Linked DNA regions of Elephas maximus indicus. The protein of the gene in region 2 interacts with the protein of the main gene of each other region in a pairwise test. Links are inferred from orthologs where the notes say so. Each region holds a gene or a part of one and is shown on either strand. Other genes may lie near its edges.

Region 1 (7,100 bases), on a different chromosome or scaffold from region 2:
TTGACTCATGTCTTGGTTTAACAGTTCATGAAGCTGAGTTCAGCTCTCCTGTGTGTCTCACCACATTAGTGGCCTGTGTCCCAAACAACGTTGGGTGATTTTCTTCGTATACTTCTCAGTGTGGCATGTCACACTCAGGGAGGTGCTATTGTGAGGTAAAAAGAGTGGGGGCTATCAACTCAGAGCTGGGTTCAAACACCTGGCCCTGCCACTTTCTAGTTGGGCTATTCTGGGCTCAGGAGAGTGAATAATACACGTATTCACAAAGGTTTAAAATCAGATCATATGTATAAAGCCACTTGCACTTGGGTAGGGCTGTGTCAGGCCCCTTTCTCTCCCAACTCTCTGTTCACCTACCCCACCACCTCGTCCCAGAGAAAGCCAAATGTGTTGAAGAAATAAGAGCCGTCCTTAGGATGTTCTGCTGGAAGCCCATGCTGCAGACAGGCATGGGAGCTTTCATTCTCTCCCTGAAGGACGCCATAAGCACACACATTTCTGCCTCATATTCCACATATACACCTCCCCCTCTTGACATTATAGCAGGAAGGATGGAGAGAGGCTGTTACCCAAGGGAGCTGTTTCTTCTTGTCACACAAGAGCAGATGCTGAAATCCTAGGACAGACAGCACAGAAATGCGGCTGCAGGAGGGTGAGTCAGAGGCAACAGCTGGTCTCACCTCTAAGATCTACCAAGGCCTGAAGCCGAACCCCATTCAAATCGCTCACTTCCTGGAGACTCCAAAGGGCAGGGATGTGTGTATTTTTAGGACCAAAAGGGAGTCCAGCTATTCCACAAGCTCCCTTCCCCACCCCACCGCACCCTGAAGGGAGCACAGAGAGCAGGGAAACAAGGCTGCATTCCTTTCGGACCCACCTCATCCTCATTCCCGTTAGGCTGTCCAGTGGATTCTCTTCTGCTGTGCTGTACACTTCTCAAGTCCTCTGGGGCCATACTGTGTGGAAAATACTGTCCTGACCCAGTGCACACTTAGTGTCTACATAGAACACCATTCAAGGTGCACCTCACGCTGGTGGCGGCGGGGCGGGGGGGTGGGTGCGAGGAAAGAGGAAAGAGTGGGGCCCTGAGGTTTCTTTGGGGAGAGTCTGGGGAAGGGCCATCATTGGGAAAATCTCTTCTTTGCAAAGCTGAAGCTGAGGGCACTTAGGATGTGAAGAGTTCTGGTGATGATAACACCAGCAGCAACAGTCGTGGAGGGAGTGGTGAGGAGGATGTTGTCGTTCATAAGCTTCTTTCTTGGGCCTCCTCTCATCCACTCTGTGACTCACCCACCTCTCCCCATGGAGCCACACCAGCTCCCTAAGTTCCCCTACCTTCCCGCTTCTCCTTCCCCTCTTCTGCAGGCTGACCCTCTTCTGTAGTGGATACCAGATGCCAAACAGAGGTTGGGAAATGCCCCTGGAGGCTTTCTGGTGCTGTCCTTGTAAATACAAACTAAAAACTGACTAGCTCACAGAAATATTAAGGTGTCAAAATAATCAAGGCAGTATTTTTTTTATAACTTACCCAGTTGACAGGACCATTGACAGTAACTTCTGATGATCTAGAATCCAAACAAATAAAAAGCCCAAATATTGGGACTTTTTTTCCCTTATTGTAACAAATAGTGTTGATTAATGTTCACTGTTATAACTTGGATAGCCTGTAAGGAGGACTGGAATGTGCCTTGTAAATCATCATAGAAAGAGGTTCAGTGGATGTTTTCTCAGATGTCCACATGGCTCTCTCCCACTCTACCTTCAGATCTTTGTTCAGACACACACACACACACTTGAATAAACACTTCAACATAAGCAAAGATGCTTATTTTGTTTACTGTTGTATCCCAGTGACTAGAAAAGTACCTGGTACAGGATAAGCACTCAATAGATATTTGTTCAACATATGAAGTATGGTTTCATTGACAAGTACGTTTAAATTTTTTTATTGTAGTAAAATATATATAACATAAAATTTTCCCTTTTAACGTTAAGTATGCAATTCAATGCCATTAATTGCATTCACAATGTTGTACAGCCATTACCACTATTTCCAAAGTAAGTACATTTTTATTGTTTGTTTAAAATATTTATACATTATCTTCTTCGTTGTGAAGTCACTTATTTAATCATTTACTCAGCAAATACCAGTTTAGTCCTTGTCATGTGCCAGGCCCTGTGCAAGGCACCAGGGATCTGATAGGGAACAAGACAGACGCATTGTCCCCCATTCTTGTGGGGCTCAAAGCCCAATGGGGAGAAGGACTATACACATTTGTATAAGCAAATTAGTAAAAATGACATTTAGAGATTGAGAAAAGTATGATGAAAGAAGTAGAATACTGAGATGGAGAATGTGACAGGAGAGACCTATTATCCTATCATGTTAGATATGGTCAGAGAGGACCTTTGAGTGATGACATTTAAGAGACTTGAAGATTAATAAGGCTTGTTGCTACTCAGAAGAGGAAAATCCTGTTACCCAGTCATCTTTGATGAGTGAGTGTGGTACACAACATAAGAGGCCCTGAAGAGAAGAACAGAGAAGAAACTGAGTCCAAAGCCTGGGTTCCATCCCCACTCAACTATTAGTTATACCATCTTGAAAAGGAGCCCTGGTGGCACAAACGGGTAAGGGCTCAGCTGCTAACCAAAAGGTTGATGGTTGGAGCCTACCCAGATGCTCTGGGGGAGAAAGACCTGGTGATCTGCTTCCGTAAGGATTACAGACAAGAAAACCCTATGGGGCAGTTCCAGTTTGTCACATGGGTCACTATGAGTAGGAATCAACTCGAGGGCACCCAAACATCTTGAAAATGTCCCCTTCCTTATCTCTAAAGTGGGAGCAATACCTACCTAATACCTCACAGGAGCTCTGGTGGCACAGTGGGTAAGAACTACGGCTGCTAAACCCAAAGGTGGGTAGTTCCAAAACACCAGCTGCTCCTTGGAAATACTATGGGGCTGTCCTACTCTGTCCTATGGGGGGGCTGTGAGTCAAAATCAACTCGACAGCAATGGGATGGGTTAATATCTCACAGGTGTAAGTGATGTTAGATAATGTATGTGAAAATGTTTAAATAGGGCTTCTAACCTGTACTCTAGTTCAAACCCTTGCTGAGAATTTGCATTTCTAACAATTTCCCAGGATGTTATACGTAAGAATCACCTGTAGATCTTGTTAAACTTTAGGTTCTGATTCAGTATATCTGGGGCGGTAATGCAAATTCTCACCAGGGAAATTCTTAGAAATGCAAATTCTCAGCAGGGGTTCAAACCAATGGAACCAGTTTGTAGCCCTGGTTTAAATGTAAAATACTCACCTGATGTTAAGGGTAAATGCATGAGGAAGTGTGAATTTCCCACTGGCTGGGGTATCCTGGGGTGGAATCTCGTCCACCAAAGAAACCAAAACCGGTGGCAAAGCCTGATGTCATTAGTGGAGTATTTATGCTACTAGGCATCTGTCTTGGTTCACTTTGGGCCATGTCTTGGGAGGCGTCTCAGGAAGTGTCCCAGGGGCCATGGCTCCCTTCCCCAAGTGCTGTGAAAGCCTCTTCTGCACAGAGGACTGCTCAGAGGTGTCCTTGTCTGCTCTCACTGAAGTACCTGCCCCTAATATCCAAAGAATGCCCTGACAGATTTGTCCGATGGTACCCTAAGAGGAGTCAAGAGACAAAACTGGGGATTGCCTGTGTCTTCTGCTGACCCCAGGACAGCCTGCGGACGCCCGCGTACACCACACCCACAGGCGGCGGAGAGGAGGCAGGAGACGGGAAGAAGGGCCGGTCCTGGGGCAAAGAGGATATGAGAGCTCTGGGCTTTAAGGACTGGAAAGGAGGCGAGGAGGGGAGAGGGGAATGAGAAGTGAAGGAAGGAGCTGGGGGTGTGGGGCGCGTGGCGGAGAGGGCTGGCGGGGGCGGTAGGAAGACTAGAAGAGGGCAAGGGCCGTGGGGGAAAGAAAAGACAAGAACTGGAGATGGGAAGACGGGGGCCGCGAGGCCTGCGCTGCCGGCTGGAAGTGGGCGGTGGCCTCCGGGGGCGGCGCAGGGCGGGCGGCGCTGTCAGCGCGAGGCGGCGAGCGGAATGCAGCGGCCCGAGGCCTGGCCACGTCCGCACCCGGGGGAGGGGGCCGCGGCGGCCCAGGCAGGGGTCCCGGCAACGCCCACTCGAGCCGGGGAGCCCGCGGGGCCTCGGGTACGGAGCGGGAGGACGGGCGGGGGCCCGGGGGCCCGGGGTCCCCTGGCGGTGGAGAGGGGTGCGGGGGGTGAGGGATAGCCAACCCACAACTCGCGCGGCGGCGGCTGGGAACTTTGTGCCACCCCTGACCAGCCCCAGGGAGAGGGCCCGGGCTCAGAGCAGGGGACAAAAAGTTCCTCCGGGTGCAGACTCCTGAGTCGGCTGAAGTTCTGGATCAATTTGGGACAGTGATAGGGAGGGTAGACGCGGGGTGGATTGAGATTCCGCTCGGAGGGGTAAGGGTGGTGTGTTCGTAGGCTGCCGTGCGTGCTTCTGGGGCCCACCCCGGCCAGGGTGCTGGGGGCGCGCTGAGAGCATGGGTCCAGCCTCGGCCGGGGGTCAGCTGGAAGGAGGAGGCTCACGCCGCTGTCCCCCCGGCCCAGGTTCTGTGATACACTCTGACTCGGGCTCTGGAGCAGTCAGTGCATGACAGAACTTGGGCCCGAGGGACCTTCTGCACTCGACAGTGCCCACCCAGGGCCTGCAGCGGAACATCTGCCTGGAAGTAGAGAAGGCAACGGAGTTGGCCCGGGTGGCAGTGGGGCTGGGCCTGACCCACTGTGGACTTTTGGAGCAGGGGTCGCTGAAGCCTGAAGGCTTACCCCTGGAGCTAACAGATCCCAGAGAGGCAATGGCAGGGCGTCCACCTTGAGAGCTGTTGCTTCAAGGGCCAAAGGAGCTCTCCTCCCCTGTGTCAGTTGCAGGAACCTTCCCTCTACACCATCAAGGCTGTTTTCATCCTGGATAATGATGGGCGCCGGCTGCTGGCCAAGGTAACCCCCCACCCTAATCCACATAGTGGACACTAGAGGGGCCTGAAGCCACACAATGGTGCAGCCCCAGGAGCAGAGGTCCCCACCCAGCTGACTCTCCCCTCTCAGAAGAGACTCACTGTGGTCTGTAATGTGGAACAACTCAGCTTAGATCTCTCCAGAGGTCATCCTGGCCATCCCTCTGCCTGTCAGGCTGTTGGCCCTGAAGCAGGACAGAGGGTCTCCTCTTTTTCTACTCTTGTTCCTTGAAATGTCTTTTTGTTATCCCTCTCACTGGCCAGCTGGACCCTGGGTGTGGGAAGGGACCCCCTAAGGGGTCAATGGAGTAGAGCCTGGGACCCAGAAGTCCTGGTCCCCAAATTCTGAAGAAGCCACTTCTACTTTTCTCCTACAGCTTCATAAACACAGTTGCAGGAGCCTAAGAATTTAGAACTAGATTTTAGAGACCTTATAATCCAACGCTCTAATTTCACAGGTGAAAAAAATAAGGCCTAGGGAAGCTGAATGAGTTGCCTGAGGTCACAAGCTGTAAATATCAGGAGACATGAACTCAAGTTTTTTAACTTGTAGCTCAGGGTGGTTTTCACTACACCGCCATTCAATGATCTAATATCCATCATAGTGAACATGGCCTGAGTTAACCAAACTAGGAAAATCCAAAAATAAATTTCCATAGTTGACAAAATGAGCTGTATCAGCAGGGCTATAGCATCTAAACTAGCTATGAAATGAAGTATAGATTTTTGTCCTTTTTTTTGTTTGGGGCTGAAGATGTCTTCCAAATTCTTTTTTTTTGTTCTCACAACATCCTAAAGAGCTTGTTCCCCCACAGCAGGGGCCACCAGGGAGATCGCTAATTTGCCAACAGATCAGGTACTAAAAGGTAACATCCACACTCACAAAATTGAGAGGTGATCACACCTCACCCCAGCAGATGGTCTGAGGTGGATCAGGGGCAAAGCCTCTCCTCGCAGGGCTCATCCATTTTACAACTTGAGAAACTGAGTCAGAGAGAGGCTCACTAAACTCAAGAGAAAAAAGAATGACTTAAATTCTGCAATATGTGCTGGGAACTTGTCTCTAGCTATTTGATACTCACCATAATCCTGTCTGGAGTCAGACTCTCCTTGGTGTTGAATCCCAGCTCTGCCCCGTTCAGGCTGTGAGATGTTAAGGAAGCTACCTGGCTTCTTCATACCCTACTTTACCTCAGCTATTTAATGGGGTGGTAAGTTTTCTGTAATTGGTAGCCGTTGTTATGGTTACTGCTGTAAGGACTCCTGGCACTGCCATCTTTCCCGTAAGCTCAGGTCAGTGTAGAAATAGAGTGGCTGGTGACGACCCTGATCCTGAACACACGGTGCATCCACCGAGGGTACGAGAACCTCTAGGAAACCAAGAGGGAACTCCAAAATCAGACCTCAAATCTCCTCTACATTTTATGACATTCTTTGCTTAGAATTTGTGTTTATGGGGAAATAACTCACCAGCTGCTTCACGAGGAAAAGATGTGACAGTCTGCTTCCATAAAGATAACAGTCTCGGAAACCCTATGGGGCAGTTCTACCCTGTCATATAGTGTCTCTGTAAGTCGGAATTGACTGGATGGCAATGGGTTTGGTTTAGTGAGCAGGCAGGCCTGGAGGGCAATAAAGGGGAGGCAGGCCATCATGGCGGGGTCTCCCTTGGCCAGCACCCACCATCTCCTGCCACACAGCCTGGGAGGAGCCAGGCTCTGTGGGACAGGTATCACCCCTTCTCCTTCCCCTTCTCATAGTATTATGACGACACATTCCCCTCCACGAAGGAGCAGATGGTCTTTGAGAAAAATGTCTTCAACAAGACCAGCCGGACCGACAGTAAGTGTCTGCCTTTTCCTCCACCAGAACTCTCAGTTGCACACCGTGATCTTCTCCATCTGGACACATCTGTCCCTGCCGGCCTTTATATACCCACGGGCCATTCCCTTTTCTTCAGAGGCTCTCCTCTCCTTCCCAGCTGTTCTCCACTGTCTTCCTCCAGGGACCTTCATTCCGTATTGCTTTGCATTCCGCCCCTCTTCGGACTCCTCCCCACCACCACTACTAG
Region 2 (7,609 bases):
ACAACTCTTTAACGTGGAAGTTCCCCAAATAGACCCTGCTCTCCCTCCAGGCTCTTACAGGTGCTGTTTCCTCAGCCTGGAGCATCCTTCACCCCTCACCTCCACTTCATCCTGCTAGTTCTTACTCATCCCTTAGGACTCTGCTTGGACAGTTCTTCTGAGAAGGCTTTCCTGATTCAAACTCAAGTTGGGGGCCCCCTGGTCACACTTCCCATGATTAAGCGAGGACACCCGACCTCAATGCCTGAGTGCCTGGGGGTTTCTCTGCCAGTTCTGGAGGTGCAGAGACTGCTATATCCCCAGAGATACACTCAGGGATTGGCAGGCATGCAATAAATATTTTCTACATGAACATATAAATGAATGTATACCCCACCCCCTGCCCCCCCACCCCAAAAAAAAGCTGGGGCAAGAAGAAGAGGACTACGTCCCAGTTTTTACAGGCAAGGTACACTTTAGTCACATCTGTCCCCTGAATCACTCAGCCTAATGCAGAATTCAGTACTTAGTAAGCAAGCCTGTTTGTATACCACTTGCATTCTCTACATCTATTTTCCTAGTGTTCTCTTTTAGCATCCGTTAATGTCTTTGTGAAAGTTCCAGGCTGGTTCAGTTGACCATGAGGAACTAAGGGAAGGAAGGGGTTGTACCCAAGTTAAGGCTGGAGAATTAAAAGGGCACAGTACTCCCTGAGGGTTGGCAGCAGTACCTGAAGGATGAAGGAGACAGAAGAGGAAAGGGCACCAGGCAGCTATGCCAAACAAAAGTCTAATACGCATCAAAAGCATGGTACACACAAGAGAAAAAATGGCCTCTGTGTCAATGAATCCATCAGGGAAGCCATCCACTGCCCCCAAAGACTTGCCTGCTGGTGACAATGATGACATCCTCTGCTATGCAAGACATTTCCTTGATAGTCAGGTAGCACATCCGACGGAGTGTGGGCTGCAAAAGAGATGGAAAAAGCCGTATATCACTTCTGGCTTAGTATGAGGGCCAGAGTTAGGAAAAGAAAACTCCAGTCTGCACAAAGGCATCCCATGCTGACTGGTGGGGCCAGTTTTCTGGGGGTCTCCTACGACTATGTCACAAACTGGCCCCTTAAGGAAAGCTGGGGTCGGAGTACTTACATCATTGGACTGAAAGAGCTTGGTCATGGCAAAGAAGGCCTCGGTTGCTTCGGTGGTCCCCAGATGCTCCCCCTGTGGTAATCAAGAAAGAAGCCTCAGCCTGGGACAGAGGGGACAGATGGCTCTTCCTGTTGGATCAGCCCAGGCCAGATCCTCGGACCCTGCAAAAATTCCATTAAAGGCTAACACACTGGGTGCTCAGGCGACCCAGAACTGAGCCAGTGGCTGCAACCACACGAAGGCTGTCAAATCACTTAAAGTGATGATAACTTGTGTACTCTCCTCAACACCAGTTTCCCCACCCTCAAACCTCACCCTATTACCTGGTTTATGAGATAGAGAATCTTGGTGAGGATGTGGGCACATTTCCGAGGGTTGATGGGAGTTTCGTTAAATACACGGGCCTAAGAAAAAGCAACAAAGGCTATTACCTTCTAGCCCTGTTTGTTTCCTTTCCACTGACTACCTTCAAGCACATTCAAGGTTCTGAGAAGTCCCAGGGTAAATAAATACACTTGCCTAAACAGGCTTATTTCCATAAGAAGTTTTATTTTTCTTAACTCATCTATTAACAACCTTTTTTTAAATATTAGTGATGTGTGGACCTATAACCAACAAATACTTAGGAAATGCTTATTAAATGGAAGGTGAAATGACTAACAACAAAAATGTAGGCATCATCTCTCCAAGAAGAAAAGTTTCTCTGTCTTTCCAGGCACAGGTTTTCTCTCCTACACTTCTCTAATCAGGACTGAATGTGTTGCTTTTTCCATCATATCCACCATGAACATTTATGATGGAAGACAGAGTGGAACAAATGACACTTGCCTCCTGGAGTACTGCACTCTTCTCAAGGTGTTGGAATGGGTTGGAGCCTCCACCTACAGTTAAAGAGAATAGAAAACACTGAGTACCATCCTGAATTTCAAAGCTATCAAACACAGAGAAGGGAAAGATGTCCCTATTGTCTACCCAACAAAGTTCAAACTCCTCAGGAACGGCAATCAAGGCTCTACAGTCTGCCTATAGATCCTACCACTCTCCTGCAAGGGGCCTCCAACCTAACCCAAACCACTTACAGTCACCCAGCAGCCCTGGTACGCTCCTCCTTCTGTTTCTCATGGTGGCATGGCTTGTATTCATTCATACAACCCTTACTTTACTGAGTCCCTACTATGGACCAGGGACCACGATTTCCTCCTGACTAAGTTTCCTTCATAACAGAGGTCACATTTGTAATAATCACGTTTGTGACTCTCTGGTTGATGTCTGTCTCCTCCACTACGCTTGTGACCATCTTGTTCATTCCATTGTAACATTTCCAGCTCAAGAACCGAGTGTCTGCTTTGTTCTACTGCTGTATCAGGACACAGCACAAAGCCTGACATAAAGTACTCAATACGTGTCTGCTGAATGAATGAATGAATGAGTCAGGGTTCTCAGCCACAAGACAGAGGCTCCACAGATTACACTCCAGCTTGGACAGAACCAGCGCGGTCCCGGCGAATCCCGAAAGGCCAGGCGAAGAAAGAGGAGCATTCGGCCCAGCCTTTCCTCTGGCAGATGGGGAAACTGAGGCCCAGGGAGGAGTGTGATTCGCCCAAGGTCACCTGGCGGGTCACAGTCCGAGCTTACGAGTGGCGGGCCGCGGAGGATGCTCTGGCTTTCCGAGGCCTGCCACTGACCAGCTGCGGATCTTCGCACAAGCCCCGGCCCCTCCCCGAGCCTCGGCCTCCCAGTCAGCGCAGAGTCCCGAAAGCTTGCGCGGGGGTTCGGCCTCCCCCAGGCCCAGGCCTGCTGGGTCCCCTCACCCGACTCCTCGTCCTTCTTGTCGAATTTCTTCAGCATGGCAGGGCCGGCGAGGGCGCGATGCAGCACTGGGCTCGGCAGGTGCGGTTCGGAGTAGCTGCCCGGCGGAGGTTCCACTTCGGCCACTTCCGGGCTCCGACCAGGCCACGTCGCTCGAGGCTCTGCGCAGGCGCATTCCGCACTCTGCGCATGCGCACGCCTGAGCCGCCGCTGTCCCTTTTTTTTGCGTTAACCCTGTACTTGCCGAAGAGGTCAGAGGGCCGCAGACCTGGGGGGCTGAAGCCTCTCACGCTCGGGACGGCTGGCGACCTAGCTCGGCGCCTTACGCCCTCCTGCTGTGTACACTGGGAGTTGTAGCAGCCCCTGCCTCATTGCGTGTGAAGTGAGTTTAAAACAGGCTTTCGGCTGTGAGGTCCGTAGCACGCTCGCCTGCCGTCCCACCCAATTAAAGTAACCTGTTATTAAGGAGCCCTGGTGGAGCAGTGGTTAAACTCTGGGCTGTTAACCGAAAGCTTGGGGTTTTGAACCCGCGAGCCGCTGTGGGAGAAAGATGGGACAGTCCGGTTCCGCAAAGATTTCAGCCTTGAAAAGTCAGCGGGGCAATTCTACTGTATAGACTCGCAGTGAGTCGGAATCGACTCAACGGCAATGAGTTTTATGGATTAATATTATAACTGTCACCTTTTCGGTAAGCTTCGCTAACCACTCCTTACTTTCCGTCTCCCTTTCCTGCTTGATTTTCTCCTTGACTCGAATCACCATCTAGCACACAATGTTTTTATTGTTTTCCTTGTCTTATTCACTGCGGAGGATGATGTTGGCAATAGTATGTGAACAATAAATTCTTGTAGAACGAGTTAATGCATTTAATTGCTGTTATAATTCATATGTGCCCACTCTCATCTTATCTGCTCCTGGTGCAAATTGTTTTTTATTTTATTAACTTACAAGGAACTAAAAGGTCAGTGTGGAATTTCAATGTTGCTCTTTTATTTAATACTTACTAAATGCGCCGCCTGGCGCTGGGGGCGGGAGAGGAAGGGAAAAAGACATCACTAGGGTTTATCTTTGGGGGGGGTTTATCTTCCTGATAGGGGACCTACACCGGACACTGTGTGGCTAAGGTAAGGACGGTGCGTCCCAACATGCCAATTGCATTCGCTGCGGCAAAACCGAGTCTGGATGGTTAAGCGCTGGGACGCAGGTCATCACCTGGCCTGGGGAGAGGGAAGCCCGCAGTCTGGCAGGGAGGTGAAGGAGCCCTGCTGGTGAGTCGGGGGTTGGAAGGAGCGGCAGGGTGCAGGGGCAGAGACCTGCAAGTGAAGGTGGAGGTGACAGCACGGCTGGGGTAGGGGTGTCCGGGAAGGGGCCAGTCTTTTAGCTTAGGCAGTTCAGAGGTTAAGCCTGTGGGAAAGAGGGAGCTGGGGAGAGGACGAGCCAGTCGTGAGCCAGAGTGAAATTGTCAAGACCCAGAAAGACATTAAAAACCTTTAACCAGTAGTAGCTCCAATCATTATCCTGAGGAAGCCATCCAAAAGAAGAAAACAAAGTTTCCCACTGCAGCAATCTGTAGCAAGATAATTAGAAACACCCTAAATGCCCACCAATAAGGGGATGGTAAAGAACATTGGGTAAATCTGCTGCAAAGGACCTCTTCAAAGTGTTGAAGAGCAAAGATGTCACCCTGGAGACTAAGGTGCACTGGACCCAAGCCATAGTATTTTCAATCACATCATATGCATGTGAAAGCTGGGCAATGAATAAGGAAGACCAAAGAAGAGTTGAACGCCTTTGAATTGTGGTGTTAGCGAAGAATATTGAATATACCATGGACTGCCAAAGGAAAGAACAAATCTGTCTTGGAAGAAGTGCGGCCAGAATGCTCCTTAGAAGCAAGGATGGCGAGACTGTGTCTTACATACTTTGGACATGTTGTCAGGAGGGATCAGTCCCTGGAGAAGGACATCATGCTTGGCAGAGTACAGGTTCAGTGGAAAAGAGGAAGACCCTCAACGAGGTGGATTGACACAGTGGCTGCAGCAATGAGCTCAAGCATAACAATGATTGTAAGGATGGCGCAGGACCAGGCAGTGTTTCGTTCTGTTGTGCATAGGGTCACTATGAGTTGAAACCGACTTGATGGCACCTAACAACAACAACAACAAAGAACATTGTGGTACATCCTCTCAAAGGGATGTTTCTTGCAACTTGGGAGACCACATGCAAACTTCTCATAATAATCAAGGTATCAAAAAAGGATAGAGTGTAAAAGTGTTCATAATTAAGGTGAAATAAAAATCCTTCATGGTTAGAAACCAGAAAGAACCCTAGAGAATTGAATTGTTAAGATGGTGAAATACAGATGAATTGTGTTGGGACAAAATAGGCTTTTATGTTATGATATTAATTCTATAAAACTTTATACAAAGGACAATTTTTACAATACTCTTTTGATAATGAGAATTGTGGGTTGTGGCTCCAGCTCTATGTGTGAGCTTATATTTGATATAATTATTATTTTTAAATAAAATATATATATGTTGTTCAAGGTAATTGCTAAGTCCTTTGCGGAAACATAGAGTATTAGAATTGAAAGTAGAAGTAATACTGGGGAAATCTGAGTAAGATTGGTGAGTTGTATCAATGTCAGTATCCTGGTTATGATATTATTTGTTTTTAGTTATCTAGTGCTGCAATAACAGAAACACTGCAAGTGGATGGCTTTAACAAAGAGAAATTTATTCTCTTACAGTTTAGGAGGCTAGAAGTCTGAATTCAGGGTGCCAGCCTAAGGGGAAGTCTTTCTTTCTCTGTTGGTCCTGGGGGAAGGTCCTTGTCATCAATCTTCCCCTAGTCAAGGAGATTCTCAGCGCAGGGATCCTGGGTCCAAAGAATGTGCACTGCTTCTGGTGCTGCTGTCTTAGTGGTATGAGGTCCCCTGTCTCTCTGCTTACTTCTCCCTTTTATATCTCAAAAGAGATTGATTTAAGAAACAACCTCTTCCTGTAAATTGAGTACTGCCTTATTAACATAACTGCCTCTAATCCTGCTTCATTAACGTCATAGAGATAGGATTTACAACATGTAGGAAAATCACATCAGATGACAAAATGGTGGACAATCATGCAATATTGGGAATCATGGCCTACCCAAGTTGACACATTTTTGGGGGACACAGTTCAATCCATGACATTATTCTATAGTTTTGAGTTTTTTTTTTTAAATACAATTCATATATCATAAAATTCAACCCTCTAAAGTGTACAACTCAGTGGCTTTTAGTATAGTAAAAAAAAAAAAAAAGTGCCACCATCATCTCCATCTAATTCCAAAACATTTTTATTACCCCAAAAAGAAATGCCACGTTGGCTATAGTTGTACAACATGATTAATATAATTCATATCACTGAATTGTACATGTGAAAAATATTGAATTGGCAAATGTGTCATATATACGTTTACAGCAATTAAAAAAAAAGGATTTAGCAAAGTGGAATTGCTGGGTCGTACGGTAGTTCAGAGTATAAAGTCGACTAACAAAAATCAGTTGGGGTTCTATGCATCAACAATGAGAAATCTGAAGGGGAAGTCAGGAAAATGATTCCATTTACCACAGCATCCAAGAGAATAACATACCTAGGAACCAGGGATGTGAAAAATTTATACAATGAGAACTATAAAACGCTGCTGAAAGAGATTAAAGAAGACTTAAATTAATGGAAAGATGTTCCATGTTCATGGATGGGAACATTAGTTAAGATGTCAGTACTACCCAACGCAGTCTATGGATTCGACTTGATCACAATAAAAATTCCAACAGCTTTCTCTATGGAAATGGAAAAACAAATTCTCAACTTTATATAAAATGTCAAGAAGCCCCAAAAAGCTAAAGCAATGTTGAAAGAGAAGAACAAAGTAGGAGAACTCACACTTCTCAATTTTAAAACATATTATACAGCGACATTAATCAAAACAGCCTGGTACTAGTATAAAAATAGGCACACAGACCAATGGAATAGAATTGAAAGTCTAGAAACAAACCCACACGTCTATGCTCAACTGATTTTGACAACAGTTTTAAGTTCATTCAGTGGGGAAAGAAGAATCTCTTCCATAAATGGTGTTTGGAAAATTGGATTAGCACATGCAGTAAAATGAAACAGGATCTATGCCTCACACCATATACAAAATATACAAAAACAAATTCAAAATGGGTTAAGGACCTAAATGTGCAAACCAGAACTGCAAAATTCTTAGAAGAAAATGCAGGGGCAATATAATAAAATAACAAAGCACAGACAGCAAAAGACAAAATAAAGGGGACCACTAAAAATTAAAAACTTCTTTTCATCAAAAGACTTTACCAAAAAAGTGAAAAGACCAGCTACTGACTGGGAGAATATCTTCAGAAACTATATATCCAATAAGAATCTAATAGCCAAAAAATATATAAAGCTTCGACAATTTAACAACCAAAAGACAGCCCAATCATAGAATGGGCAAAGGACTTGAATAGACATTTCACCAAAAAGGAAATTCAAATGGCCACCAAGCGCATGAGTAGATGATCTATGTCATTAAAAAAAAAAAAAATGTCATTAGCCATCAGAAAATAATAAATGTTGGCGAGGATGTGGGGAAATTCGAACGCTTATGCGTTGCTGCTGGGA

Evidence for each region.
Region 1: the proteins of COPG1 (region 2) and COPZ2 interact in a two-hybrid assay, tested with the Homo sapiens proteins (2 studies listed by BioGRID). The link is inferred for Elephas maximus indicus from reciprocal best matches to the Homo sapiens genes COPG1 and COPZ2.

The regions. Positions count from the first base shown.
Region 1 is NC_064837.1:45,456,866-45,463,965, forward strand, and holds the start of COPZ2 (coatomer subunit zeta-2), read left to right. Parts: upstream 1-4,063; 5' UTR 4,064-4,086; coding exon 4,087-4,197; intron 4,198-4,937; coding exon 4,938-5,012; intron 5,013-6,789; coding exon 6,790-6,871; intron 6,872-7,100. UniProt on the Homo sapiens protein: The coatomer is a cytosolic protein complex that binds to dilysine motifs and reversibly associates with Golgi non-clathrin-coated vesicles, which further mediate biosynthetic protein transport from the ER, via the Golgi up to the trans Golgi network.
Region 2 is NC_064838.1:41,579,547-41,587,155, reverse strand, and holds the start of COPG1 (coatomer subunit gamma-1), read right to left. Parts: upstream 3,093-7,609; 5' UTR 2,979-3,092; coding exon 2,942-2,978; intron 2,012-2,941; coding exon 1,959-2,011; intron 1,535-1,958; coding exon 1,454-1,534; intron 1,203-1,453; coding exon 1,131-1,202; intron 946-1,130; coding exon 866-945; intron 1-865. UniProt on the Homo sapiens protein: The coatomer is a cytosolic protein complex that binds to dilysine motifs and reversibly associates with Golgi non-clathrin-coated vesicles, which further mediate biosynthetic protein transport from the ER, via the Golgi up to the trans Golgi network.